Linked DNA regions of Lytechinus pictus. The protein of the gene in region 1 purifies or fractionates together with the protein of each later gene. This does not show direct contact. Links are inferred from orthologs where the notes say so. Each region holds a gene or a part of one and is shown in the gene's direction. Other genes may lie near its edges. The genes, in order: kelch-like ECH-associated protein 1B; GA-binding protein alpha chain-like; serine/threonine-protein phosphatase PGAM5, mitochondrial-like.

Evidence for each region.
Region 2: the proteins of kelch-like ECH-associated protein 1B (region 1) and GA-binding protein alpha chain-like purify together in Homo sapiens (affinity purification with western blotting; 3 studies listed by BioGRID). This does not show direct contact. The link is inferred for Lytechinus pictus from reciprocal best matches to the Homo sapiens genes KEAP1 and GABPA.
Region 3: the proteins of kelch-like ECH-associated protein 1B (region 1) and serine/threonine-protein phosphatase PGAM5, mitochondrial-like purify together in Homo sapiens (affinity purification with western blotting; 6 studies listed by BioGRID and IntAct, with this or other methods). This does not show direct contact. The link is inferred for Lytechinus pictus from reciprocal best matches to the Homo sapiens genes KEAP1 and PGAM5.

Annotation. Positions count from the first base shown.
Region 1 is NC_087255.1:5,857,362-5,868,070, forward strand, and holds the start of kelch-like ECH-associated protein 1B, read left to right. Parts: upstream 1-6,771; 5' UTR 6,772-7,365; intron 7,366-10,709. UniProt on the Homo sapiens protein: Substrate-specific adapter of a BCR (BTB-CUL3-RBX1) E3 ubiquitin ligase complex that regulates the response to oxidative stress by targeting NFE2L2/NRF2 for ubiquitination.
Region 2 is NC_087252.1:18,355,917-18,366,686, reverse strand, and holds the start of GA-binding protein alpha chain-like, read left to right. Parts: upstream 1-6,638; 5' UTR 6,639-6,789; intron 6,790-10,770.
Region 3 is NC_087246.1:20,739,137-20,749,703, reverse strand, and holds the start of serine/threonine-protein phosphatase PGAM5, mitochondrial-like, read left to right. Parts: upstream 1-5,420; 5' UTR 5,421-5,543; coding exon 5,544-5,728; intron 5,729-7,056; coding exon 7,057-7,229; intron 7,230-7,708; coding exon 7,709-7,923; intron 7,924-9,238; coding exon 9,239-9,372; intron 9,373-10,567. Other genes in the region: protein HGH1 homolog, read right to left, coding at 2,679-2,921, 3,774-3,964, 4,525-5,197. UniProt on the Homo sapiens protein: Mitochondrial serine/threonine phosphatase that dephosphorylates various substrates and thus plays a role in different biological processes including cellular senescence or mitophagy. Modulates cellular senescence by regulating mitochondrial dynamics.

The DNA of each region.
Region 1 (10,709 bases):
AAAGTTTGATTGAAAGGGAAATGGGCTTGAACACAGCCTTTTTCTAAGATTGTGGCTGTGCGTACAGCTACTGGTAATGCAAAATGACAGACAATAATTTTCCCAGCACGCCAGCAAACTTGCTTTGAGTAGTATTGGTTAAAAACTTGGTTGTAGATATTGAGACATTAGTTTGATTGTAATAATTTTAATAAAATGCAAAAAAACAAAAATTTTAAGTGTTTGAGATTCATTATTAAGCCTACTGCATTATGTCATAGGCGAAGTCCCTGGATAAAAGAAGCTACCTGCCTTTTGAATCATCTCCATTGACTATCATTGTAGAATTACTTGAAATGATCAAGGTTTTTATCTCCTTGCATCATTAAATATATTGATCTCTTTTGTGCATAAATTTCCCTGGGGGGCAGTCAAATATACTGCTGTACACATGCTTGATCAAATAAATGCATTTAAAGGGGTGTTTTTTCAGTTTTGGATGTGGGCTGCACATGCACTTGTTAAGGGTATCAAAAACACCGATAAAAAAAAAAGGTGGTTTTGAAAGACTGGTCTGGTCAATGGTCAATCGCGGGGTCAAACATATTTAGGGTGTTTTTTTCCAAAGCTTTTTTTAGGGGTCATATTCTGGCGACAACTTGTTTAGGGGCCAAAATGTGTAAATAAAACCCGCGAAAAAACTTGTTAGGGGGTTATTTTGCACACAGAGAAAAACTTGTTTAGGGGTTGTTTGGAAATAAGTTGGTCATGCATGTGTACAGCAATACATTTGACTGCCCCCCCCCCCATTCCTTGATAAATGTGGCAAAGCTTGCTATCATCAGCACCTATTGTAATTACCAGTATGGTCAGCATCTGTGTTCGAATGTTCAGTACCTGACCTTGATACACATTCATGTTTACTGGGTGGAGGATGCTAAAAATAGCTTCAGTTTTCAAGGGGTGTCGAGAATAGCTGCATTCACACAAGACTAATAGGCCTATATAGTATTGTACTCCTTTCATGTTCCACTAGTAAACAAGTGTAGATATAGAGGCCGTTTACATTACGCTTTCTAAAACTAGTTTACTGGAAACCGATTCAGGAAACCAGTTTGGAAGATCGCTTTGCTAGCGTTCCCACTTGATCACACGAAAGTGGTTTTCAAAATCACTTCACGTAAAGCGCTCTTGTTGCTATGGAAACGCTCTCATAGGGGTGACATGTTTCGCGCGAAATTCGAAACCGCAGCATAGGCATTCTACACCTGTCGTGTGGAGTAGCGCGCTCAAAATGTGCGAAGATCGCTTCCCGAAGAACGGTTGTGTCCTCACTTACGCTAAAACCAGTTTAACGAGGCAAAGCGATCTTGAAAACTACATCGCGAGGTGGTTTTCCAAACTGGTTTGCAAGATCGCTTCCAAGACCGCTTCGACCGTTCTCACTACGCGTTAAACTAGTTTCCAGTAAACTAGTTTTAGGAACGTAGTGAGAACAGCCTCTATGTCTGGATTGAATACGGATCAGAATGATTCGACTCGGCAATAAAAACTTACACAATTCAGAAATGTCTGCATTATCTTTTATGAGTGCAGCAAGGATATAGCGTGGCTTATCAATCATTATGGTACACTGAATTGCAGGAATTCAAAATAAGTCCTAATGGACTGTAGTTAGAGACCAGTTGAATTCTGGATTTAGTTTTATAATCCCAAAGATTCATTTTTTAATCTCAAAGGATTTTAATTCAGATCCCTTGATTTGAAAATAATTGCAGGATTGAAAGTAAATCCAGGATTCGATCGGTCTCTACAATGAAACTACAGCTCATTTGGATTTATTTTACATTAGCTGCATCGGCAATAGGGGTATCAGAAAACATATGCCTTTTAAATGTACAGGCATGTATTGTAAATGTACAATCTACATGTATAGTTTTAAAGCTAGATTGATGATCCTACATGTATGTACACCACAGAAATTTAAAACACCTAATCATACAAGACGTGTTTGTCACTAAATTCATGATTGTTAACAATTATTGATAAATTATGATAATTATTAATCTTACTCATTTATTATTGTTACATAACTACGATTACCAATATACATGTATCTGGATTTACCCTGGATGTCAGCACAATATATGTAGACCTTTGTACATGTATCAACTCCCAGGGACTGTGCTTTTCAAGATAGAAAATCGCCATGACTTGCAGAATTTATCATGTATTGGACTTGCTCCGTTGTTGGGTGCTTTGTTTACATATAACCCAATCTGCTGCCTTTGATCCAGTGTATTTTGGAATGGAAAAAAAATGAAATCAGTGTGGATTGCGTTTTTTTTTTTCAAAACTGAAATATATGCCATATCATGTTCAGAATAAGTAGGCAGTACAGTAATATTGCAATTCATCAATTTGATATCAGGGCCTGCTTTGTGGGAATGAATGTTGGTACCTTGGACTTTCAAGATATGGATTGTGATATGATAGATGATGATGATTATGATGATGATGATAGTGGTGGTGGTGGTAGTGGTGGTGGTGGTGGTGGTGGTAGTGGTGGTGGTGGTGGTGGTGGTGGTGGTGGTGGTGGTGGTGGTGGTGGTGGTGATGATGATGATGATGATGATGATGATGATGATGATGATGATGATGATGATGATGATGATGATGATGATGATGATGATGATGATGTTGATGATGTTGACGATGATGATGGTGATGATGATGATGATGATAATGATATCTATAGTTCCATTAGCTTCATGACCTTGCCCCTGTACCTTGATTGTTAGCTATTGTTAGCTACATGTAGCTCTAAGTTCATTTCTTTGCTCTAAGCTCAAGTACTAACTAGCTTTTTCTCAAAAAGATACACCCATTGTATTTATAACTGTTTTGGTAACTGCTCTCTATGCTAATTTGCTCTAAGGAGGATATCTATACTTTGGGGATGAATAAAGCTTGTTTTCTCAACACTTTGTAGAGTGTTAATTGCATTTCATCAGATCATCGTTTGAATAAAGCTCACAGTTCAAAGCTGGGTACCAGAAAATCTTTTAGTCAAATATACTGTCTGCCTTGGCTTATCGTTCGCCTGTAAAAATAGGTTGGCTAGAGTGTCAAGTTTTCATGCATTGTCATTGTTTGATGAACATACAGAGCTACAGTCGTGTACATGTACTGTACGTATGTACGTAACTATGAAATTGTGTTTTTATACAGAGAATCCAAATTCAAGCTCATATTGGCTGATTCGAGAGACTCTTATGTATCAACACGCTCAACCTCTAGGTGGTATATGTCCGGGGGGGGGGGGGGGGGCAGTCAAATATATTGCTGTTCACATGCGTGGCCAAAAAAACGCATTTTAAGGGGTGTTTTTTTTTTCAGCTGTGGACGCGGGCTGCGCGTGCAATTGTTAAGGGTATCAAAAACACTGATTTTCAAGAAAAAGGGTGGTTTTGAAAAACTGGTCAATGGTCAATCGCGGGGTCAAACGTATTTAGGGTATGTTTTTTTAAAGACTAGCCAAACCTGTTTAGGGTATGTTTTTTCCCAAAGCTTTTACCCCGAGGTCATATTCTGGCGACAACTTGTTTGGGGCCAAATTGTGTAAATAAAGCCCACAAAAAACTTGTTAAGGGGTTATCTTGCACACACAGAAAAAACTTGTTTAGTGGGTGTTTGGAAATAATTTGGTCATGCGTGTGTTCAGCAATACATTTGACTGCCCCCCCCCCCCCCGGCATATGCTTTGTTTAAAGAGTCTCGGCAAAATTCAAGCAGTCTTCCGGCATCCTCTCAAATCCGCCTGGTACATGTATCTGCTGAAATGCATTCCAATGTTTGATTCTCTGTATGAAACATGAAAATAGTTTTAGACAAGTTTCTGATGTAATTTCGTGAAACGATTCTTTTCAGTGGGTCACGATTGACTTCATTTAGTAGGTGTAATCAAAATAGGTGTGTATAGACTCCCACTCAACAGAGCGTTTCGAAGAATCGCATTATCCTCATTTTTTTCTTGGGGTATATAGACCTGTGCTTTTGAAATATATTGTGATATGGTTTAATCCCTTATCATGTTTGTGCAAACAGTAAAATTCAGCAAAACGTGGTTTGAATTTCAAAATGCTGTTTCTTCCTATTCTTGCATTGAATGCCATTGCTATTAACTCACAAAAAGGGTTAATTTGGCTTTGATATCGTTTCAACAAGTCAGCCTCCAGGCATAACTCTGCATCACTTATCAATGCATTTTTTACACAACATTACATTTCTTGATACATGTATCTTTGCTTGGGTGTTAAAACCTTGTAATTCAAAATTTAACAATTTTTTAGGGCAGGCCAGAAAGAGTCAGTAGCGTACGCTGGGGGTGGTTGCAGGTGTTCAACCCCCCAAAAAAAAAATGTTGAAGACTTTTTTTTTGGCTTGTCAAAATTTGTGAAGACCTTTTTTTTGTTGTTGTTGTCAACTTTTCATTCAGCTTGAACCCCCCCCCCCTTTCAAAAATCCTGCGTACGCTACTAGAAAGAGTTGTATTTTATGATATGTATAGTATATTATAGCTTAGCTGGGGTAATATAGGAGTGCCTTGAGCACCTAGCAAGGTAGCCTCTTGTCGAGGCCCTGTCGGCTGCTTTCCGAGCGAACATGGCAAAGCAAGGGAGAGAGCGAAGCAGAGCGCCGCGAGACAGGGCCTCTTGACATCTGTGCCGAATTTCACCGACTTTCTTTTGTTTTTTATTGTTTTTACCAATTCACCGACCAAAAACTGGTCGGTGAAAATCATCCAATGAGAGCGCGGGCTGCTATGACGTCATATTAAATATTCATGAGCTCATCTTGAATAACGACCCTTTGATTCTTGGCGAAGAGTGACGACGAAATATCAAAGAGCATTGAATATGCCTCTAAAATGCTGAATATTGACCGATTTAAGGATTTGCAAGTCGATGAAATTAACTCTGCACTGAAAGGACGAGATGTCTTTGTAAATCTATCCACAGGATATGGAAAAAATTTAATATTTCATGCGATTCCACCGGTCGATCCGGGGCGTCGATTATCAATCTCCGCTGTACAGTGCATGCAGTGAAGGAAGCTGGGGTGGAGTTGCTGGGAGTTGACTCGAGTCTGACCAGCGGCTGAGCAGTATCTCCTGGGAAGTTTCGGGGCGGTGATGGGTCTGTTACGGCCAGTAGTAGTAGTAGTAGTAGTAGTACCACAACTTGTAGCATTTTGCTGGTTATATCCCCTTTAGTGTCCCGCAATTAAATGAATCCCCTGCAGAATAGTGGACTACTATCCCGGACTACTATAGTATTCCAAACCCAAGTCGAAACAGCTCTGACATTTCATTGGTTTACTCGGTGACCGGTAATATCATGACTCATGTATATTCATTAGGAAAACGTTCCTCATGAATATATAATTCGGTTCAGATGTCAAGAGGCCCTGGCTCGCGCCAGGCCTAATTCGCTTCGCGAATTAGGAAATCCCTCGCTTCGCTCGGGTAGCAGCCGCCAGGGCCTCAACAAGAGGCTACTAGCAAGGTGGATATGTGCACTATACAAATCCTATATTATTATTATTATTATATGGCAGTGGGAGCAACCTCATATTATCAGGAAACAGTCTCTTATTTCCTGTTGAGAACCCTTTCTAGGCAAAGGAAGGGTTCTTTATGTTTATAACTCTGGAATCAAGTTCTTTTTTAGCTATCTGTATTTCATTTATTTCTTTTAAATATGTATTACAAAATTTTAAACTCAAGCGACGATGTGCACCTGCATACAACTCATGGATATTGCACAACAGCTAGGTTTTTTTCCAACTCGTTGTCTTGCACAGTGTTAAGCAGATTCCCATCAATTGTGATTTTTTTAAATCCAAGTTTTACGTTTCTAAACATTCATGTAAAGGTAAGTATAAACACACCCCATGGCAGCGGGTGTGTGCTGCTTTCTGAATTTCCAACTTTGGTTTGTCTCAAGGAAACATCTTCACAAATTTTTCTTTCTTTTCTCATCTTCACATCTTTATAATTTAAAGGGGAGTCTATGCTGATGTCAAATTGCTCTTTATACAGCTAGGAAAGTGGCAGTTCTCCACCAGTTTTGAGCAGTTTCATATATATAGTTATTAGTTTACAGAAGGACTTATACATTAATCGTGGTTTTATTGGTACAATCATTAAAAGTAAACATGTGAAACAAGTAACTCTTCTATTAATTCTCAATGATTTGTATTAGTACACTTTCTCTTTGTTACATAATGCAATTCAAGTAGTTCCTGTTTGAATATTCTATTTATGGAAACTGGTGTTTGATATATCCCATTGTCTGAGTCTAGTCTTGAGAAGGGATTTAACTGACACTTGTTTATTTAGACCCACTTTTTATGAATCCAATGGAAAATGTGTCTTTGCAACACTATGATGAAGCCAGGCATCTTATCCACCAGGTTCTTTTTTTTTTCAAATAAAGAGAGGGAATAATTGACTTAATTCCCATTCACTTGGTTCATTTGTTAGATAGAGCATTTGTATCAGTTATTTTATGCTTCAATAGATTTCCATTGGACAGGGAGATGGATCAAAGCATAATTCCGTGATCAATAGTAGGTGTCCTATAGCCAAGGTACTTAGGAGTGATTGTGTGTGTAGAATAATGCTGAGTCACATATTCTTTAATACTCCACACTCAAAACCCTGACTGATCAGATAACATGCTACAGTGACCCTCACCTGCAGGCGATAGCATATTGCACCGTTCGTACACACACACACATACACACAACACACACTCTGTCATAAACGCACAGTCATGCCATGGTCGTGCATGCTGTGTGGACTCCCAACTCCTGCCTGCGCACGTATCTACCCGCCGATGCATTCTGGAAGGGAGATACGTAGGCAGTTGAATGAGTCCCAACCGTAAAATGGTTGGCTCGTAGCCGCCGCCGCAAGTTGAAGGTGTTTATAAGCAAGATGACTCGGAATAATTTGGCAGTATCCTACTTTACACTTGCTAGACGAAAACCGGCTTTTGTCATATTTCAGAACTACTAAATTCAATTCGGCCTGCAGGATATCTTTGTGTGTTTATAATTCATTGTATACCTCTGGTTTATCGCCAAATAGCATTGCTGGAATACATGTGCATCATTATATTCAGGATTTGTTTACCTTTACGAGTACATGTATGTGATTTACATCGAAAGATTCTCTGAGGTGTGCTTCGTGTTTCAAGTAACGAATAATCACGGAATAGTCACTGGACTGCTCTGAATATTGCGGATCTATCAACTGCAGAAATATTTTGGAATACTTTATTCTTGTCTTGTCTCTGTGTGGAATTTATTTCAAGAGTGGTATGTTTTACTCATTTTTTGAAGAAAACATATTCTAAATCCTCAGTATCATATTTTGTCTTAACTACCCTGTATGATGAAGATTAATTTTGTTTTGCATGATTGAAGAAACCATGGTGTATATAAGTGTAATTTCTTCAGTTTTGTTTTCATATTTGTAGGCCATGTATAAACTGAAAGACAAGTTTATTTCCTTTTTTTACTATATCATATGGTATTGAATTGATTTGAATCAAAAACATACTTTTCCAATTTTATACCAAATGTGTCAGCATATTTTGATGATGTATAGGCCCTGTTGGATATCATGCCTGAATTAAGGCCTCCCTGTTCTGTTTTTTTTTAATAGTCATTTATATTTATATAAATTTGGGTGATACTGATAGAATATCCCTCATTGATTTCCTTGTTTTGGTACATGGTTTCTAGTACTTACTTAAATGCATTTAAATCTCAGAGCTGCAGAGGCACATCTTACTTTTGTGTAGTGCATGTCACTACTCCAGTTCTTTACTAGATGAATGAATAAATTTGTAATACAGGATAAAGTGTGAGATTTTATGCGAAATATGATTGACTTGGGTGCCCGATCCAGTTAAAGTGTCTACATATTTTTTTTTACCTGCATGGAATGGACCCCAAAAATTCAAGTTGTACATAAATCTATGTAGCTTTCTTATCATATCATTAAATTTCTAAATTATGTGTTTGATTATCCCCTTTTTTTAACGAAAATGTTTAAAGTTGAAATAAAAAAAATTCAAATAAAAATGAAAATGTCGTTTAGGGGGTACTAGACATATAGACTAATCTTAAATTTGAATTTTAAAGATAAATGAAAGTAGTTGTAGTAAACACTGATTTCACGAGAAAATCTGTAAAACCAGGCTTAATTGTCACTGTATCATCGAGGATCTAGATATGGTACAGTTACATAAACTGAACTTTGTGAAATCTTAAAATCTACGCTGAAAAATGTTCACACTGAAGATCACCAACACAGACAAGCGCACGTGGGACAGTGTATTATTCTTGCTTTGGATGTCGGCCCGACGCTTGACCCGAATCCCGTGCTTATTTGCTAATTTCTCAGCAATTACACAATTTCTTCCAGAATCCTTTGGCACATATTTTTTATTTATAAATACAAACAGACACTTTAGTGGTCATTTCATTGGATTCTGTACGAACTCATTATGATATCGTTACCACAACTGGCATTTATCATAAAATCAAGAATGAGAGTTGAGAGTAGAGAAAATATGCTGACTCAACCTAAGACCACCGAGCCAGGCAGTGATCATCCTTACGTAACCAAGTAAATGATAAATGTGACAGTTCCACCATCCGTGCTTGTAATTATAAAACCTACATGTACCGGCACATGGAGCATATTTTATTGCCTGCTTCTTATTTATTATTACCCTATAACACTCTGTCGCTATTTAAATTCAGGTTGTCTCATATACATGATAGTCTTGAGAGGAAGTAGGCCTATTTGTATTGTTTTGAGAGGAAGTATCTTAAATCAAAATACATGTAATGACAACTGCATGTAGGTGAAGATTAAAATCATTAATATGAGTAATTATACATTGATTAAGATTTATTAAGCTGCAGACTGTTTTGTGCTTACTACTAGGCAATAATACAAAAATCATTCGACATTCTGATAAAAAAATATAAATTCTTATTCTGATCCTAAATGCCGGCCACACAATTACTATCGAACTGAGAAAGAGAATGGGAATTGTGATCTCTGATAAAGTATGTTATTTTCTTAAAATTGGCAACTGTGAAGACATTTAAAATGGAACTGCAATTATTGAATTTTACTTATTATTATATTCAAACTTCATATCTTAAGAGACCAGAATATGTATTGATTATTGTCATTTTAGCATATTGTTATTTAAGCAGTGAAAAATAGGAGTATAAATGATTTACATGTAGGGCCCACAAAAAAGAGTCTATAAATGTATTGTAGTATACATGTAGTATAGAAGTCCCAGGAATGATAGATCAAGAAGCGTTCACTCCCCTTTCTGGGTCCTGATTTCAACCCGAGCGAGCGATCGGTGTCAACGAACAGCCACTCGGGTCGCCCTACAGAACCTAGCGCACAGTAAAAGATGCCGAGTCAGCAGTCTTGAGATTCTGTCTCACAGTGACCTGAATGACTCCACAAGATATCTTGCAATGATTCATAGCAGATGGGTCGAGGATCAAACCCAGGTCCTTTAATTGGATGAGATATGGAGTGGTCCAGGTGGGCTTGTAGTGGATCGACTTGCTCGATTTCCATGCGCTCTCCGAAAGTGGTTGGGAAGGAATCTGATTAACCTAGCTACGGTAATCCATTTATTTCCAACCCACTAATTTGGATGATTTGTATTAAGTAAATTTCATGAAATTATGCCAAATTCTTCAAGGTTTTCTAGATCCACACAGTTTGTGTTCATAGGTTGTTGTGCACAATTAGCCAAATTAATGTTAATATAACCTGAGTTTAATCTAATTCTGTATGGATTCACAAACACTTGAAAAAAGGAATTGAATCCGGGGAGAGTGGAATTATTTAGATTTTATACATTTCCGGATTTAATTCGTTGCAGTGACTCGGCACCCGTTAAAGGTGCAGTACAGGCACTCCATACACAAAATGCATTTTCTCCTAGTATTTTCATTTATTGTTGGATTCGAACATTTGACAATTCATTGTCTTTTCATATTATATGACAAACAAATGATACAAAATTAATAATGAAGAGCAGTGGAAATTCCAATCAAATAGATGATACACAGTCATATCCACACTGTAAAACTAGTATGAAGAAATCTGAAGAATTTTCATTAGTCTCAACTTGTCCATTGTGCAATGTGAATGGAAAGGAAATTTGCACATTTCTGCTAAAATAGTTCCTCTACATTTTAAATACCACACCTTTGGCCTTGGTGAAACGATTAACCACAAGTTCATTGCTCAAATTGAAAGTTGAATAGTTACAGAGGGTGGGGCAATAGACATGTATGTAAAGCTTCTTTTGGGGAAACCCCCAGTTTCCACCACTACTATGCTTTGTGTACATGTTGGCCTACATTACAATGAAACCTCCATTATCCTGAACATGACTACATGTATATGAGGCTGTTCTCACTACGTTCCTAAAACTAGTTTACTGGAAACTAGTTTAGTGGAAACTAGTTTAACGCGTAGTGAGAACGGTCGAAGCGGTCTTGGAAGCGATCTTCCAAACCAGTTCGGAAAACCACCTCGCGATGTGGTTTTCAAGATCGCTTTGCCTCTTTAAACTGGTTTTAGTGTAAGTGAGGACACAATCGTT
Region 2 (10,770 bases), on another chromosome or scaffold:
AAGGAATATCGAGATAAATAGTTACCTGAAAAATACGGACACGTACGAACGCGTCAGCGGACACAGCCCCAATCTAATTTGCATTTACGTCATCAGATGGCGCTACATCCGCGGGACATTTAAATTTTACATTGGATCTCAAGTTGAAAATCATTCATGAAAAGGGCTTGTCAAATTCCCCAGCTAAACCACGAGATGGAGAAAAACATAACTTTTGGTGGATAAATAGATATTCAAATATTGCTATCTCCCTATAAAAATTGTATTTTCGATCAAAAAATAAGACAATGGAAAGGAGCCAAAAGGGATAAAAAAGGCAGGAGGAAATAGAAAAAAAAAAGTGATCAGAGACTATTGTTACTATTATTATTTTGAGGCCTATAAAAAAATCAAATCCTCTTGTAAGTATTTTTATAGGCATTACATGGTATAATGATTGAATGAATATGTTTTAGGTCGTATATTAAAGCGGTTAATAGTCCAAGCAGAATAACATTATGATGCACAGTGTTTGTTCTACGCCAACTTGAGATTAAAAAAAACAATAGGCCTCGACCCTATGAATAATAATTATAGTCAAGACCAGGGTCCCGTAACACAAAGGTTAGCGATTAATCGTACACTTGATTTTCATTATTGATTGATTGTACATTGTAGTCAATGGAATCAATCGTAGAAAAATGTTCTACGATCATTGCTAAGCTTTGTGTTACGGGCCCCAGGTCATGTAAAACCAACTCCTCTAACTGACTGGGTAAAGTTTGATAAACTTGAATTTCTTAAGAGCTGTTTCATTTCATCTCATTTATTCCCTCATTACATTCATTAATTCTTTCTCTTTCTCTTTCTCTTTCTCTTTCTCTTTCTCTTTCTCTTTCTCTTTCTCTTTCTCTTTCTCTTTCTCTTTCTCTTTCTCTTTCTCTTTCTCTTTCTCTTTCTCTTTCTCTTTCTCTTTCTTTCTTTCTTTCTTTCTTTCCATCTTTCTTTAGATTCTTTAGAAACTTAATATTTTCCAATTTTCGCGACTATGCAAGAAAAAATAAAATAGAAAAGGAAATTAAAAGAAGGGTAAAATGGCGACGGGATTATTTTCTGAATCATACATTTATGTCAAAGCCTACTAGTAACATCACAAAAATTTGATTTTTGTCTTAAAAGTATTTAAGAAATGAGGCAAGCAACGTGCGAGATCTATAGTGAAATGTCAGGCAAAGCATGCATGCCAATTGATGATCGATCGTTTGGGACTGCCCATAATCACGAGAGTTACTGTTTCAGTTTAAAACTTTTGATTGGCAAAAATCGAACGGGCATTACCCGATTTAACACTCTACTAAGGGCGTAACATGGGTTGGTGGTCAGGGGGGGGGGGGGGCAAGAGCCAAATTTTCCCGGTCATATCATGATATGAACAGGATTTTTTTTTTTTTTTTTTTTTTTTTTTAGGGCGAAGCTCAATGCGAGATAAGTTCAAAAAATTAGGGGTACAGCATGGTGCGCGTGGCAAAAACTTCCTTAATATAAGTCCCGAGACGAGCGAAGCGAGCGAGAAAAAAAAATCACCTTTTCATTACATTCTAACTTTAAGATTTATTTGACATGGTATGCAGAAAATAACATCATATCTTATATCTTCCTTTAATCCTTTTCCTTTCATTTCATTTTCTTTCATCTTTTCTTTTTTGTTCTCGGTTGTATCAATTTTGGGGGCCAGTGCTATGCGGATCGGGTCCGGGGCAATGACGGCACCAGGATTTTTAACCTAGAGGAGGGAGGCAAAAGAACATGGGGGGCTAATATTTGTTTTAATGTAGACCCTACTGACTTTAAAATGGATTTGTTAAGGACTAGTTGTTTGCATTGGGTCATGAAGATGATATCTCACTAAAATAATAAATAATGCGAGCGCGAAGCGCGAGCTGAAAATTTTTGAAATCCTTAGAGGATATAACTCAGTGGACGTTCTAAGCACTTTTTGTAATCATAACTGGATGACTATTGATGCGAGCGCACAGCGCTGGCTGAACATTTTTGATTTATGAAATTGCAATACGCAGGCCAATGTGTATCTCGCAAAAAACGAATAATGAAAACCCTAATCGCAAGAAGCATATTGAATTGAACATTGGATTTTTAAGCCCCATGTGAACAGACAAGTTTTCTTATCTCAGTCAACAATTACTGCGAGCGCGTAGCGCGAACGACAATTTTCATTTTATAATAATAATGACCTGAAATATTTATAAGCTGGGAACTAACAATGAATGGATGAGAAAAGTTTCAAAATTTAAAGAATGAGCTGTTTTGGAGTATTTTGCAGCTTTAGTAGGATGCTTATGACAACATTTACCCCGTGTCTCCCCTTATTGGTGCCGCCTCTGGTCTGGGGCGGAGCCCCGGAACCTCGTAAAATATTTAAACATTGCAGATGGCCACTTTTTTTATCAAATCGCGGGTACATGCACAACAGTTAAGGATAAAATACAAAATATTTTGAGGCAGCACAACGTAGCAATGTGGTAAAATTTGTAAAGTCGCCAGCGAGCAAAGCGAGCCAGAAAAATTGGCCTTTCTAAATTTGAAATTAAATTCTAATCGGATAGTACAGCTTTAAAATAATAGCCAACGTAAACATTAAGAGGCTTTTTACGTCAATCTAGCCAGCGTCAAGCTTTGATTCGGTATATAACTCGGGACATATATTATACTGTTTATTATACTGTAAGAATGCTTGTCTGTAAAATTGTATTTGATTTGTATTACTTTATATTACTTTGTATTATGTTTTGAATGGAAATGGAATAAAGAATTGAATTGAATATAATATAGGGGATATAACTAGCCCTTGCATGGCTAATAAGGATTTTTTGGGGGTCCTGATTGCGACCATTATTGCATGAAATTAAGCAAGCTTATTATAGACGCCATTCCGTTCTTTATATTTTTTAATCCTTGGCAGCCAGCTAGGTCGTGTTCTTAATTTCTTTTATTTTTGTCTTGTTCATTGGCTTCATTATTCTGATTTTTCAAAATTAGCTCTTGGCTCTTTCATTTCCCGTGTCTTTTTACCTCTTTCTCCATTTTGCTGCCATTCTTGCCCGTGCCATTGGAACATATCTTTTTATTCTATTATCTCTCTCTTGCTAATGATGCCAGTATTTCAGGATAAATTTGTACTTCCTCATATGTTTTTCTCTCCTTCCTTTTCCGACATTCCTTCCCGTTTTCCCTATTTGTTCTTTATTTCTTTCCCTTTTTTTCTCACTTTTTCACTTTCCCTTTCTTTTTTTCTTTCTGTCTTTATTTCTTTTTTTTTTCTTTCTTTCTTAGTTTCTTTATTTCTTTCTTTTTCCTTCCTTCTTTCTTTCATTCTTTCTTTCTTCATTTCTTTATTTCTTTCGAAGAGGGGCATTAATTTTAAGGTTTGTTTGTAAGAATTCACTAAGACCATACGTATTTCACTATATGCGAGCGCGAAGCGCGAGCTGAAAATTTTTATATTCAGACTATAAAGGGCCATTTATGAAGACTGTATACAGGAATTCATGAAGAGCAGACATATAGACCAATCCACTGATGCAAGCGGACTGGAAATGTTTTATATCCAGACCTTAAAAGGGGATCACTTTAACGCCGAGTAGTCATGAAAAGGAAGCATAAACTACGTATTAAATTAACTCAGAGTGCGAGTAAAATATTGGTTTGATAACGGGATGTTTTAAGATTATATATCTTATTAAACAGACAATGCGATCGAGCACCATGAATTATGACAGCCCCTTAGCAAATTATGTTTCATTAAGTTATGAAACAAATATTTATCATGTTCTATAATAATATAACATAATGTAGTACAATAATTTCTTCCCCCACTATATAGGCCTACACATTTATCTTTCTCCCCGGTCTTTCTCCCCCTTTTTTCCCTGTTTTTTTTTTGGGGGGGCGGCCGACTTGGGGGGGGGGGCACGTGTCCCTTCGTAGTTACGCCACTGAAACCTTTAAAGGGGAAAAAAATCAGTCAAAGTCAAAGAATGGGGGTTTTCTTTTCTAGAACCCTCTTTCCTCGGAAAACCCAGATAGTCAAAGCAAAGAAAAAAGTAATACACCTTAGAATGGGTGCCGTTTATTGGCTGAGTCCGTCTGGGGCCCCGGATCGGGGAATTACAGCGTTAAGTCAAAGAATTGGGGCCTTTTCTGGAACCCTTTGATCTCTCTCTGGAAAATAGTCAAAGTAAAAAATAAGCAATATGAAATTAATGGTTAGAATTAAATGCAAAGTAAAATCAAAGAAAAGTCAAAACAAAGAAAAAAGTTATACACACCCTAATTAGAATGGGTGCCATAGGCTGGGTTCATCTGGGGCCCCGGATCGGGGGGCTACAGTCGGGTCTACAGTATTTTTGAGCAAAAAATACACCAACCACCCATATTAAGAGCTCGATCACTTGCAAAAGGGTTATAGGTCAATTTTTCATCAAATTTGATTTTTATGTCTCAATTAATGTATAGATTAAAATTTGTAGTAACTCTATAAGATGATACCAAAGAAAAGTTGAAATTCCTATTAAAAAGTGAACTTAAATGGCAAAGAAAAATCACTTTTTTTCAAAAGGGTTTTGGTCCATTTCAGTTGAGTTGCAAAAGGGGTACGTTAGGTCCAATAAGATTTTTTGGAAAAGAATATCTTAAAAAATATGAAGACAGGTAGATTTCTCTTATACCCAATTTTATGTTCTCATGGTAGGGTATCACGAAAATTCAGTTTCGCACAAGAAAATTGCGATATGGGAGAATTAAAAAAATGATTTTCTTGGAGTGACCTAACCAAACTCTTCTCATTTGTCAGAAGGGGTTAGTACAGTGATTTTAGTCCATTTTTCATAAATTTTTATTGTTTTCTGTCTCTAATTTTTGTCACTCTGATGATACCCAGAAGGAAAACCAGTTCCACTGGACCAGTTAGACCAGTATAATTTTAACTGGTAACTCTGGAAATTGGAACATCGGTTTACTGGTCTAACTGGTCATACTGGTCCAGTTAAATTTTTACTGGTCCAGTTAAAAATTAAACTGGTCTTGAATTACTGGAATTTTGTACTGGTCTATTGTTGCTGGTGGTTGTTACTGGTCTCACTGGTCTTCATACTGGTTGGTTTCCAATTTCAGCTGGTATTTTCTACTGGTCTGACTGGTCCTCAAAGTGGTAAAACTGGTCCTCGTACTGGTCTTACTGGATCAATTATTACATGCATTTGGTTTGTTATATACCATGGTCAGTGAAATGTGATGGAAAAGATGGTTAGTAAATTAATCTTTCTGCTGTTATTTTAAATGTGATGTATGAAATTACACATTTTCATTGTGAATTAGTTCACCAATTATTTTGAAAGTTTTTAAACAACAATGAGTGCCATTGCAAGGATATCATAAATCCTGATTTTTCTTTTAAAAACAGGAAATATGCAAATGAGGTAAACCACGTGATCAGCATCATCAGAAATACTGGTATTACTGGTCTTGACCAGTTCAATTTCAAACAATGAATTACTTTAGACCAGTTGACTCTATCAGAGGAATATATCTTGCTTTGATCTTAATCATTTAAAAAAGGAAACAATGTTAATACTTAATAATTATGATAATATTAATAATAATAATTACAATATAAATAACAATGATAACAGTAATAAGAATGATAACAAAAATTAATGATCATAATAATCATAATAATTATGATAATTATAAAAAGAATGATGATAACAATGATAAATGATAACAGTAATAACTGTCTCTGAATTGCAAGATTCATTTTCCATAATCATATGATCTGACTTGAAATAAAGTCATTATTTATTTGACCAGTACAACACCAGTTTGATGAAAAACAATTTAACTGGTATTACTACTATGTTTGAACTGGTCTCCAGTTGATTTTTACTGGTCCAGTTAAAAATCAACTGGTCCAGTAAACATATACTGGAAACCAGTAAAAATCTACTGGAAACCATTTATTGGACCAGTAGCATCAGTTTGAGGAAGAACAATTTAACTGGTATTGCTTCAACTGGAATGCAGTTGTTGGAACTGGTCTCCAGTTGATTTTTACTGGTCCAGTTAAAAATCAACTGGCCCAGTAAAAATATACTGGAAACCAGTAAAAATATACTGGAAACCAGTAAAAATATACTGGAAACCAGTAAAAAAAAATACTGGTCTAACTGGTTTTTCCTTCTGGGTACCAAAGACAATTTGAAATTCAAATGAAAACGTGAATATGAAAGTGGCAAAGAAAAATCTCTTTTTTAATCAAAAGAGATTGGATTCATTTCAGTTTACTTGCAAAAGGGGTTAGGTCCACAATGATAATTTTAAAAAAAATATATATATAGGTCTTGAAAAAAATTGAAGACATGCAGGTAGATTTCTTTTATACCCAATTTTATGTTCTCATGATAGGGTAGTACATCATGACAATTAAGTTTCTCATAAGAATATTGGAATAAGTGAGAATAAAAAACATGGTTTTTCTCGGAATGGTCCAAAAGTGGACCGATAACGTCCTAATAAACCCCTTTTGCATCTAAACTCTTCATTGTAGATAGTCGACTAGACGTGCATTTTGCGTTGCGAAAATTGCGTCGCCGAATTTGAGTCAAAGCCGTGACATCGGAACCGGAAGCTGTGAATTTAAAGCCCTTTTTGACCGTAATACTTGAAAATATTAAGCGGGTACTTCTGCTAACTTGCTAGCGAAAACACAATTCCAGTTAATTTCCACTCGTATTGGTAAGTAGGAAGAAAATAAAGTCACAGTATGGTTCAATATCTCCGTACGTGTCTAATTGCTTTGTTCTTGGCGTCTTAAAAATTCTATGCAGTCCCACTTGTTGATATTTCTGTACTGTCTGTACATGTACGTTGAGTAACATTCTGCATTTAATTTTAAATTTGGTTTGTCACAATGCATGTGTTGTTGTTTCAATGATATGTCTAACGTTATGACGAAAATGCAAGGGCCATGCAAGGTACGATAGGGACCTTTAATTTTAAATAAGGTTACAAATGGACTTTTTGTGAGAAGTTGTAGAGTAAAATTCTGGGAGACTGGGGTAAAAATAAATGAAAAGAAAAAAAAATAAAGCAGGTACCAGTTTAGACAGCAGGCAGCCGTCTGTTTCGAGGAGTTTTTTAACATTTTTTTATTTTTTAAATTTCTCCTCATACACAGACGGCTCGCTATCGTGCAGCCACCATTAGGGGACTTACAATTAACCCTGTAAGTAAGAGCTCTGATCGGATCGGATGATCGGGGGCACATACTTATCCCTATGATCGGTATCGGTCGAAAATATCGGCAGTAAATATCGGATTTTGCTATTTGTTTATCAAGCACAATAAACAGACCCATATTGTCCTTAGCTGACCCCATGCATGCCAAGCACTACTCACATATCTATTCATCCCCTGGAAGTCTGGGTTTCACTGTCAAGCAAGGCAGTGATTTACGATTGTTCTACGCCGACATGACCCAGCTGGTTGGTATCACTACCAGCGTTAGAATGGATCTCCCGCCCTCACAGCGCGCCCATATAATGTTGTAAATTCGTCATCACAAGCCAAAGCCCGGCCGACCACTAGAGAGAGGGAGAGGGAGGGAGCATCGGAGCTCATCTAATAAATACGCCAACGCAGACACTCCCGATCCAATCCGCACAGAGAGTTGGAGAGAAGGTGTGAGAGAGAGATGGGGAGAGGGGACGGAGGGAGTAATGGAAGAAAAAAAGAGAGCAGAGAGTAAACCTCGTGGAATGATGCCAACTTTTATCTGTGGGTATTTAAAATTTGATTAGGCCTGACGGAAATGTAAGAAAAGTATGTTTTTTGTATGAAGTCATTGTTTCTTGTTGTTTGTTTTGTTGTTGCTCTTTTTTTCAACAAGCGTTGATCATGAAAATAGGAATGATTAAATGTTGAAGTAACAGCAAAATTGGGAAACAGAGTGTTGGAGCAGTTGTTTCGTTCAAAGCACCCTTTGCCCCCCCCCCCCAAAAAAAAAGGGTGAAAGTTAATTTTAGGCCTGGGACGATTGTCATTTTTACCATTCGATTATTTCCTGAAAAAATTAATTGAATGATTCGACTGTTCGTCAGGAATCACATCTTTTAAGTCACAATATTTATAGTGACCCCCCATGAAGAAATCCCCATCAAAGTCACATGTTTATCATAAATGAAAGTAGGCCCTTTCCCCCATTCTCCATGATTTTTATATCAAAAGAAATTACATGAAATGAGATTAAATCTTTCAGTTTATCATTCCAATGAAAATCTTTCCTAAATCAATGCTGGTACCCTGGTATTATGCATGCATCCCTCCAAGTGCCACACCCCTGCATATGAATGAATCAGCCCAGATCAGCCGAGTCCAAAGCCCAAAGACATCTTAGTATTTAACAACTCATTCATGAAGTATTCTTTGAGACTGACACACAGGTGGAGCATTTCACTTGAAAAAAATCATCCCTTGCCCACACCATGTCCCCATCCCCACTTGTGGCATTCCCCACGATGCTACACATGTATTTAAAAAAAATGTTTTGCAAAATATTTCATTTGAAATACCTTTCAAAATTACAAATTTTTATCACTTGAACCTACATGTATAACTGGGTCTATTTTTTAGACTAATCGAGAAAGTACTGGTGAAGGCGGCGCGTGATGGAATGTCGTTTTGATTGTATGAGCGGGATATAAAAAAGGTTGCATTGTTTTTAAATATGAAAGGAATTCTCCGGCTCCCACCCCCTATCTTTCTCTCTCTCTCTCTCTCTCTCCCTCACACACAGATGGGGGAGGGGTCAATTTATTTCTGAAGTCACAACCTTTCCTGATAAGGGAACCACTAGGCCTCTTCTTTGTTTCCCCAAAAGTTTCATTGGCTATCGAAGCCGAAGGTCCAATCAGCTCAAGTGAGCTGATTGTGTGTTTACTTTCTGTTTTGAGCATGCAGACAATGACTTATTTTGTGAATCGAGGGCCAGGTCGGGTGGGATTAACATTTTCGGAGCTCTTTCGTGTTGGTGTGTAACTGTGAATGTGATACAATCATTGATAATTTTTCAAAAATTACCTTGGTAACATCATTTTTAAACCTGTATCAAGTATTCAAAAACCGCTGTCATCATTGTTTTCTTGTCATTTTATTATTACTTGGGTATTCGATTTATCCCAACGTCATAATCGGGATCTGCCAAACATTCGATTAGTGTAAATTTTGCTAATTGATTGGCGATTGGCGGCACGCCATTCGATCAATCGATGTTTACTCCCATGCAGGCCTAAAAGTTATATTAACACAAGCGAAAAATAAAAGGCAAGAGAAAGTAAAAGATCGAAATTGACATTGGAGTTTTCACGCTTTGCGAGGAGATTGGTTGCTTCTGTTCCCAACTTTGGTAACAGATCATGTGTGTTGATGTTTCTGTGTGAAAATGTGGGATGATGGAAAAAAAATCAGGGGGAAAAACTCTTCATTCTGACCCTCTGACATGCGGGACCGTAAGTTGGAGCTAGCTCGTAAATTTTGGCGAAGCCCTGCCCTCCTTGCTTGGAATTGACCAATGAGAATCGTTCCCTCTAATTTCCATTCACGGCACTCAATGCTGATTGGATTTATCATCTGACAAGATCTCCTTTATATCACGAGCGTTGTTTACAAAACCACTGGAGTGTAATGCACACCAGTCGATTAGGGGGATTTTCTCAAGTGGATGTTTCCAAAATATTAAACAAGTCTCGTCCCTGGGGTCAAAGTTGTCAATGAAGGAGATGTGGGCAGGAAAGGGTGTTCATATTTGTTAGGGGTGCACCATTAGATATCCAGGGGAGGGGGCTGGAAGTTTGAAAAAAACTTGACTTGCTAAATGAGCAACATCAAAAAATTGACTCAACATCAGAGTTAAAAAAAAAACTTGGTCCACTGACAAATCATCTCAAAGGTGAAAAAAAAACCTTGTCTCAATGGGGAAAAAATGCTCAAAGAAAGGAAAAAAATTGCATGAACTCAAACTTCCAGCTTCCCCCCCCCCTGGTATCTGGTACGTCCCTTACGAAAGATGATTATTCAGGGATGTGTACCAGCCATGATCCTTCTACTTTTCTTTCCTATCATTTACTTTTATATTTTTCATCGCCATTATTGTCACCAACACAATGTTCATACCTACAGAAGTATTGTTTAACTCGAAAACTCATACTAGGTTTATGTATTAGTCGGGGGAAAAAAATCCCCTACTTGACCTATGAGACAAAAAATTGCAATGAATAAGCCCACTTTTATATGTCGACTAATAGTTGCCCAGTTCAATCAAAATAATAACAGATCAACATTGATACTCTATTAAAAAGCATGTAATTTTCGTTTCTTATAAGACGCACGAAAATAATTCAGTTCCAGCATGTATTGTTCTACGCACATCACTACCCTGTCCCCGGACCCCCTATTGCTACGATCTGGCATTATTTCAAAGTAACATAAACCGTTACTCTCATTCCTTTCAGCCCCCCCCCCCCGTTCTCTCTCCCCCTCGTACGGTACCCGTAGTCAGTCTCTCTCCCCCATCTCTCTCTCTCTCTCGAGCTCACTGAATCTTTGAATTCCCAGGTCATCATATCAGGACGGCCAGCATGGAGCTCCGCCTAGTACCTCGATGTGATGTTGCATGCGTACACGTGGTCTTTTTTTTTTTAGTCTTGTGTTTCCTCCGAT
Region 3 (10,567 bases), on another chromosome or scaffold:
ATAGATAGATAGAAAGGTAGATAGAAAGACAGATAGATGGATAGATAGAGGGATTGGTGGATAGATAGGAGGATGGATGTATGGATTACTGGATGGATAAAGTTATAGATAAACCTTTCTTTTATAGATAAATAAAAAAGCTACATGTATATCCAACAAACCAATGTTATCAAAAGGAGTGTGGTTGTCGAATCTATATGAAAAGTATAGTATATTGTTGCTAATCAACTCTCTTAAAGAAACACCGCAAATTCACGAACTAAAAACGTAAAATTTAGGCATGTTGTTTAATTTTGTTTTAATTGTGGAGAAAGGCAGACTAACTAGATGTATAGATAAATCGATGAATACGGATAGAGGAAAACTAATAATAGATGAATTAAATAATCTCATTTTTATTTACGAATTTAAGCAAACACATAAATCAAATGAATAAGTTTATATATTCATAATAATGAATGACATGAATGAGTCAATGGACGAGTGAATCAAGGGGCGTTAGTCGAGAACTGATCAAATTTAATACAGTGTGTGAGAGCTGAGGGAACACATCTTTAAATCGGCTGGATAATAGCTGCATGTTTATTACGATCGATGTGTATATAATGTTACCATGCATGCATTCTTCTTTATTTCTTTAATTAGTTCTGCGAACCATGGACCTATATGTGCGAACTAACTTCTCCAATTTAGCGGTCGGATGAGGGTCATGCCAAATATGGGTCTTATGAGGGCGCAAACCTATTAGGAGCTTTGCTCCAGATGAAGGAAATAATGACATATGTACCCTCTCATTCTGTCTCTCACCCCCTCTCCCTCTGTCACCCCTTCTCCCTCTCTCTTCATTCTATCATCTTCTAATTTGTTTTCTTTTCACCTGTAAACACACAATCATACATAATTATTAAGGTGTCATGACGTTTTTTCGTAACACGTTCCCACAAGTTACTTTCTCGTTCCCCCGACTAAAATTGGGAACAAGTGAGGTTATCGGCCCAAGTTGAGGTAACGAGTCAATGAAAAAACGCCAAGTCAAGTTAGGGGCTCTAAACATTCAACCATGTTCCTTGACAACAATCCAAACATTCATACAAGCTATATCTTTCTTTTAATTTAAAAAAAAAAAAAATTGCCACTTTCTGCTTTATTTTCTTCTCTATTTTCTGGTCATACCAATTTTACCATTTCATTTCCAAATAAATTTAATAGATATAGGTAGAAGATATTCCTCAAATTGAGCTAATAGGCAATGGTATATAAGAAGTATTATTATAACATGGGAAACAATAATCATATGACAGCATTTCCGTAATTTTATTACATAATTTGTATTTCTTTTAAATAAAAGAGAGATTACAGCATACAATTATTGCTAGAAGATTATTTGATCTAGCTCAAATGGATTTGAACAATTCATAAGTGTAAACATAGGATTTGTAATCTGAACAATCACATTGATACAATAACATAATTTTGAATAACATACATTATTCTGAATAAAGGTTGTGAGACAGATATGTTAAAATATGAAGATATCTAGAAATGAACAGAATTCAGACATGTCAGCTACTGATTTCAGAAAAACAACTTTGCTACAAGGAGTGTACCAAGGACGTTGCTACCAGGAGGGGACAGTGGGTAGAACCCCCCCCCCCCCCCCATGATTTTTTAAGTCATGAAGAAAAAAAAAGGGAGGGAAATTTGATTAAAAATTGGGTAGAAAGGAAAGAAGAGAGTACAAACAAGAGAGGACTTGGCCATGCAACTGAGAAACATTGCATTATTCAAGAGGGAAAAATTACATCAACTTAAGGTAATCTTCGATCTTAGATCATGATCTGAACATTCAGTATCCCATAAACATAAGAATTTGAGAATGTATTCATTCTATGTGTAGCATCCATACAGTGAACATGCTGAAATCAAGTTGTTTATAGCAGTAATTTAGAAAACAGAATTACATTAATGATGATTTAGTGAAAATCCACTGAGGAAAGTTATGAGCTTTTGAATTATAATTTCATTAGCAGTTCTTTGCTATGATATTGATTCCATAAAATCCTTAAAAAAGAAATTATATACTTGTGCATTCAATATCATCATACATTATATCACATGTGCTTCAATGAGATGAATATTCTGTTATCAATCATTAAAAAATGTAAATATATGGAATGTATACATGAATATGGGGCACCTGCCTTCAAGTGACCTCACAAAATCTAAAATCTAAAAACTTTATTTAAGTATGATGGATTCTCTTGAAACCTTTGTTAATATGTTTCTCTTTATTTTTTTTTTTCATTCATTAAAAAAGCTTTTTGTTCTGGTGAACTTCCCCTTCATCAAATTATAATCCCTGGGGGCCATTTCATAAAGCTGTTCGTAAGTTAAGAGCAACTTTAAGAACAACTGGTGAACCCTTCTTACACGCTAAACCATCATCAATTCAATATACCATTTACCACAAGAAAGGATCACCAGTCGTTCTTAAAGTCGCTCTTAACTTACGAACAGCTTTATGAAACACCCACCTGGCATCTTATTAACAAATTCATTCCTTTCATAATCCTCATTTGCTTAGATCTTTAATCCTTTATCAAAAGACACATCTGAACATATGACACAGACTATAAATAATTAAAAACTAATGCCACCCTAAGTTAAAAAATCAAATGTTAATCTTTCTGCTGGTCCTCGACCTCCTTCTTTTGATCTAGTTTTACTTTGATCTCCTCCGGTATCTCCACATCCCTAAGATTCTCCATTCCTGGTAGCGGTTCATCCATGATGAGGACATCAATCACCTGATGACACAGACTCTCAACTTTCTCATCCTTCTCCCACTGATGATACTCCCTCAGGATCACATATGTCCTTTTTTCCTTCACGATCCGCCGACCCTCCTTTGAGGCACAGAGCTGAAAGAAATGACGACAAACTTTTAATAATGAATTTTGTGTTAACCAAGACTTGATGTATTTTCATTCTACATGAAAGGAGATGAAAAATATCCATAGACTTAAATCATATACTGTACTGCGGAATAAACTGCCTAATAATCTGAGGGCCATCACATGTACTTCCACCTTTCTCAAATCTTTAAAAACGGACTTGTTCTCACGTTAGATTATTTTGTTTAGGAAAGGTATGTTACAATGTTTTGTTAATCTTTCATTTAGTATTTATGTATTTTATTTCAAGTATACCTGTATTAGACTTACTTACCTCTTTTGTAAAGCGCACAGAGATTCTGTCGAATATTATGCGCTATATAAGCATCTATTATTATAATTATTTATTTGAACAACTAATTTCTGAAGTAACCCGTTACATATAATGTGTAACTCAAAATTGAAAATATCAAATATGAACTTGTATTTCTCACTGAAATTGTATACTCTATTGAAGACATTCAAGAGTCATCACTGGACTATCTAGTTTCATCAGGAAGAATAATAAACAAATTATCAATTACTATGATATTCTATATATAAAATCATATATTTCATGCATTTAATGACTATGGAAGCTGTATCCATCCATCATTAGATAGGTACTATTGGCGGGCCTAATCTTTTTTCCATCATTAGAATTATCGACTTATTTTAAGGAAAAGGGGTCATTTTTTCAGTAATAGTCTACATACATTCTTAACAATTTTTATAGCAAGGGGTTACAGTTTTCTTTCAATTTCAACACTATCTGAATATTTTTAGCACAAAAAAGAAGAAATCTAGAAGTTCAAAAAAAGAAAAATGAAAAATACTAACTTGATAAATTGCTTCCAAGAGCATAGCACGAATATCAGGATCATCCTCCCTCTTCTTTGTCTCCTCAAGATACTGAAGATCATCTGGTAATCCTTCCATATCCTCCTCACTCAGCTCTTCAGGACCAGCTAATGGTAGCAAGAGATGGGGCAAGATATCCACATCATCTCCTAACAACCATTCATGAGATGCTAAGTAATAGTTGAAGGGATAAAAAATGGTTTGAAAACAGATTAATTCAGAAAATATACTTGGCTCATATATCAAATGGAAATGCTGGCAAATGTAAGGATAAGGATTAAAAAATTATTATAAATGTATGTACACAATATTTATATATTTACAATTATACAAAAACATATGAATAAGTATCTATTTGTGCATCCATGTCTATAAAATTCTCTCTCAGAAAGAAGAATTTGTGAATTTATCCAAGAATGTAATACTTGATTTTTCACTTCATTATCGATACAAAAAATAGAAAATAACAGATCATTGTACTTCTATAACGTTCTAAGAGAAAGCGTTAAGTGACAAGTGTCATCACCTAAAATAATATGCATACATGGAAAACTTATATGAGCCTAAAACCTAAATTTTGCCATTTAGAATCACGATAGAGGTCATTTCAAACTTCCACTTCATAGATGAACAAAGACGTGACTAAATGCGAATAACATGACTGCTGACAAGGACAAGTAATAAATAAACTTTTCTGAAGATTTTTTTCCCCCTTAATTCCAATCATTACCAGTTTCAAAACAGCAGTTCCTCAATGCTGTTGCTACTCCTCTTCTCCTGGCCATTGATAATTTATACTGAGTAAATGGAAGTAACCTCTGTACAATGCATCGCTCTCTGTTTAAGATATATTCTCTTGCTTCGGTAAGCTGAGTTAGGTTGGCTAATAAAGGTCCAACATAGTCAAGACTCGAGTTCTTCTTATTGTAACCTTCTTTACAAAACGCTTCCACAAGTTTGTTCATTCCAACAGCAGAACTTTCATCATCATCATGTTGAAGAATTTTTAAGACCCGTTCTGCTCCAGCTCTGTTTCGAGTTAAGTTGCTAAGAATCATGCAAGCTTGCTTGGCAAAAGGACTCGAAGGATTGATGATCGTCTGCAGCAAATGGGATATGTACGACAGATCAAGGGCAAGTTTTTCTGCAAAGCTATCTTCCGATGACAAATTGACCACAATATGATAAGCCTGCTCTTGGTGGGATTCGTGCACAGCATCCGAACAGATAAGCTCCCCCACAGTTTCGGCTACGGGCAAGAGCTGTGTCCCGATGGTGAGTCGCCCCTCTTTGCTTGCAGTCGTACCAGTCACATGCGCGAGTGCCGTGTCCCTGACATCGGGTCTAGTTGTCACTGATAGGAACTGAATCAGTTCTTCAATAACTGAGGCATCTGCCATCATCAATATGAAGGGGAAATATCATAAATATGAGAGAGAAATTCATTAGAAGCTGAAACTAGTTATTCCATGTAAAGCAGCGCAGCAGAGCAGAACTCGCCTATAGCTAAATAGGCTTCTCTCGCGCTCGCAGGAGTTTTATTTTGTTGACCTTTTTCAGCACGTAGATATGTAGGCTTATGTCACTAAAAACGACTGGTGGGAAATAGTCTACTCATTAAAAAGCATTCCACTTCCGGTAGCGTGACAACCTAGACAGAGACGGAAAATCTTCCATTTAATTTGATTTTATTGGTAAATTGTTTGATTGAGCAGATTCTGAAATCATTTTCTGCACCGGATTGAAATAATGCCATCGTTTAATCATGGTTTTAGAGCCGCGAAGCTCTTAATTGGAGTTTCAAGTGGGGTTGCGTTTGGAGCAGCTGCAATGAAATATTCCCAGCGAGAGCGAGATGGATTCCTCCCCACAGCTCTGGCGGCGTGGACTACCAATCACAACCCAAGTGTCAGATGGGATTCCAACTGGGACAAGTTAGTTTTGTGTTCTATTCTGAATTTTTGTGGGGAGCTTAACCGAATATAAAGTTCATTTACAAGTTCCTTCTCCTTACTCTAGAATCCAGAGGTAGAATATTCATGAATAAATTTCAAATTAAGTTAAATTTGAAAAATCATTTCTCTGAGACTTGAGTGATACTATTACTAATACTAACTAGCAAAACGTTTATTCTAAACTTAGTTAATTATAAAGTTTGAGAAATTGAGGAGGAGTTATTGAAAGAAACTGAGAAATAAAGCAGTGGCAAAAATAGTCATTTCTGACTGGTTACCAGCCAAACCAAACAAACTAGGAAGAGAAGAAGGGTTAGAAGGGCTTTGTGTCTATCAACCAAAATTTTACTGTTAATAATAATATCTAGAAAAAAAGAGAAACTATGATTTTATTGATCTTGTTTTCTAATGAAAAGGAAAGGTTTGTGCCCTATTTTGTACTTTCCACTAATGGAAGGCCCTTCCAAAATATGCTCAAAATTGTAGTTTTCAAGCTCCCTTGTGCAATATTTCTCAAGTCTCAAGATTACATGTATATTGAAAAGCGGATCACAAACAAATGGAGTTCATAATCATAGAATCGATAGTGAACACACAAAAAATAAGAGTGTTTTGTATGTTGCATAGACTAAATGCAGACAGGGTGGTTGCAGACTTCAAATGTGTTGGGCTAGAGGCATTCTGCTCTGCAAGAAAAATGTGTTCTGAAAATCCTTCACAAAGACAAACTTAAATTACATTATATGAAGTTTAACTTTGATATTTAAAGCTTGGAAGTTCAATTGTAAATGACCATTATACCTGATGATTTCTTTGAATTGTCAGTTGGCCTTGTCCCAGCCCCTGATTATGCGGGGATGGCCAGGACTGATATTCACTTATTAAGCTAGACTTTGCATGCATGCTTTTTATCTGGATTCTGAGTATGGCGATTTTTATTTGTAGGGTGATTGCAAGTGCAGGCTCTCGGGGCTTTTCATCTGCATCAATTGACTGGGCTCTGTTGTTCAGTTGACTGGGACTATTATGATCTTCACCAAATTTCTGACTTTGCCAGGAACATGCCTAAAAAATAAATATTTTTTGTGCACAAGTTAATTCCAAGGCAGGCCCTTTACTTAACTTTATAAACCAATTCTGTATTGCTAGACCCTATGATGTTTCTGAATCATTGAATAGGCAATTTCAATATTGTCATTTCATTCACTGTAAATGTAGAAAAGGGCTTTGCTAACTTTTCCTGATACCTTATTGTTTTTCCAAGCAAAAACTACAATGATTAATTTCAAGAATATCCTTATTGTCAGGAGAGACCCACAAAGCTTGATAGATCCATCCAGAACTGAGGTTGACTCTAAGGATCCAACAGCCAGCCTCTCTGGAGCAAAACCAACAGCAACCAGGCATCTGATCCTCATCAGACACGGACAGTACAACACTGATGGGATCACTGATGATGTCAGGATACTCACTGCACTGGGTAGGTACTTCCTGCTTCCTAGAATTATTCTGCTCGAGTTAGAAGTACAAAGTGGAATATGACAACAAGGCGTCACATTTTTTTATTTCATTTGAAAAATATAAAAGCAAGACTCTGATCCTGCACTGCCTCAAGTACCTTTATTTTTTATTTATTTACTTTATTATTAATTTGTTTGTTTATTTTTTATGATTAAGAATAATAATACACTAAGGCAGAGTGGATTTGGCACATTACAAACCCCATCTATTATTATTTATTACTGTACATTCATTCAACCAAAGATTAATGTAACAGATTGATAAAGATTAAGTGTCAATGATCCTTATTTCTTGAATTTCAATAATTGTTACACTGAAAGTCTAAACCTTTGAAAGTTTGCACAATGACAAGTGCGTTCTAAATTTGCAGGATTAGGATTTTAGTAATGGTATATCAACTTTTTGCAATAAATATTTAAACGTTATGAAATATTTTAGGACGGGAGCAAGCCGAAATGACAGGAAAACGACTGAAGGCTCTGAACCATCCCTATACCACCATCATCAACTCTACCATGGCCAGAGCTATAGAGACGGCAAACATTGTCTGTCAACAACTACCAGATGTACCTCGTGAATCATGTGAGCTCCTGAGAGAGGGTGCACCAATACCCCCTGAACCACCAGTGGGTCATTGGAAACCGGAAGTCAAGGTGAGATCATTATTGTGTTGATAAATCATTTTGTCTTTTATATGTATTTTATGTAATTATTAGTTTTAGTTTTTTTTCCCGTTAGATAACATCAATGAGCATTTGATGTTTCAGATGCTATACTGAATAGAATGAAGATAGGAATGAGAACCTCTTTAGAAAAAAGTGTTTTATTGTAATGAATGAAATATACCATTAGGTATTTTGAATTAATGAAATACAGGTAAGTTTGCCTATCATTAAAGTTGAATCGCTTAGGATGAAAGAAATTTGTATGACTCGGGCAATGATTTTGTGAGGTAATTGCTTTGCACAATCTAGCTTTAAGTGACTCATGCAGACTTAAATGGACGGCTATATACATATACTTGCATGAAAAATAACATGAACTGATGGCATCACCCGCTTACTACATGTAGGCCTATAGGCCTATCTTTTGTGATTTATGATATGAAACATGAAATACTTTAGTTTTCTCCTCATGATCATGAGAAGCAAAGTTATATTTCAACATCTACATGTGGAATCAGTATTGTTGTAACCTATTGTCTCTTTATTGTCAAATCTTAAAAAAAAGTGAAAAATTGTATAATTCCAATACAATATGAAATAAAAAATGGCATCATTAACTCTTTCATTGCATATCATTGTGTTGTGCATATAATTGTTTTGTGAAAAATAAACAGAATTTTAGGATATCATAACTTTTGTATTTTACATTTGATTTCGATGAAATTTCCACTGTCATGCTTGTTTTGATTTTCTCTCCTTATTTCATTTTTTTTTTGGGAGGGGGTGGACTTGCCCTTTGATAACTGGATGCCTGTTCTTTTTAATGGAAGTTAGTTGCTAGAGGCATTATTTTCCTATTGATTATGTTTTTTCCTAGTAGAGATCTTCATCACAGAAAACTTGACTGTTGTTCATTACTCTAATTTCTGTGCTAAAACATGTTATATTTCTGTATCTGGTTTGTTGTTCATGTTTTGGCTTTCCTGTTTGCGCCTTAGTCTTATAGATTTAGAGAGCTCTAGAGAGAGAGAGTGTGTGTGTGTGTGTGTGTGTGAGAGAGAGAGAGAGGGAGAGAGAAGGAGATAAATCAAGAAAGAGAGGGAGATAGGGACGGGGAGGGATAGAATGAGCAAGGAAGTGGGAGAGAGAGTTGAAATTTGGGGAGAAAGGAATAAATGAGATTGTCTGTACTTCTGTAAACTGCAATGTGTTCTTTTTGTTGCTAACACTTTCTATCTGTCTTATCTGTTTCCTTTAACATTCCCTTGCCTCTTGCTGACAACCTTGTCTTGGCATTCTCTAGCAGTTCTATGAGGATGGAGCTCGGATCGAGGCTGCATTCAGGAAATACTTCCACCGAGCTGACCCTGAACAGACGAAGGATAGCTTTGAGGTCATTGTATGCCATGCCAACGTCATTAGATACTTTGTATGCAGGTAACTGGTCTGTTATGATCCTATTTTTGACATGTCAAGCCCAACACACACTCAACGACCTGGGGACCCGTTTCATAAAGCTGTTTGTAAGTTAAGAATACTGGTGATTCTTTCTTGTGGTAAGTGATACTCACCATTGAATGTCCATTGGTGATTACAGTATTTAGCGCATAAGAAAGGTTTACCAGTTATTCTTAAAGTCGATTACTCTTAACTTACAAACAGCTTTATGAATGACCCACCTGTTTGTTATTACGTTTTAACAAAATTGTTATAATTATGTTTATTTACACTCCAACTTAAAAATTCTTAAAGATCAAAGTTTCGAATAGTGGAATGCATGATTAAAGATAAATGCCAGTTGTGGTAATGATCTCAAAATGAGCTTGTACAGAATCCAATTAAATGACCACCAAAGTGTCTGTATAAATAAAAAACATGTGCCAAATGATTCTTGAAGAAATTGTGTAATTGCTGAGAAATTAGCAAATAAGCACGGGATTCGGGCCAAGCGTCGGGCCGACATTCTAAGCAGTAATAATACGCTGTCCCATGTGCGCTTATCTGTGTTGGTGACCTTCAGTGTGGACATTTTTCAGCGGAGATTTCAAGATTTCACAAAGTTCAGTTTATGTAACTGTCCCAGATCGAGATCCTCGATGATATAGTGACAATTAAGCCTGGTTTTACAGACTTTCTCGTGAAATCAGTGTTTACTGCAACTACTTTCATTTATCTTTAGTCAATATTCCAGTCTTATTATAAACCTCCCTGTATGAATGTACATGCAAAATCAATTCCTAATCAAAGTGACGGCATAGAAATCTTGCCATCAGCTATGATTTTAAGCTGATTTGGATTTTACCACAAGGCTTGCAGTAAAGCAGAATTTTATATTAGTATTCATGGCATTCCTTCGAACTTCAAATAAACTTGTCTTACTTTTTTAAAGTTTATAATTGTTAAAGAACTTGGTCGCTTTCTGATAGTACAGAGCGCAACGAGTATGCTTCTATGTTGCCCTATATTTACATGATATAAGTGTTTAATGAATTCCATTATTTTGATGTTTTTGTAGTCTTGAATTTTACCTTTGAATAAATTGTGTTAACCCAATGAAAAGCTTAAATACATAAAGATGTGTGAGAGTCTTAATTGCAATTACAAATGTAATCCTTTTTAATACTATATGGTA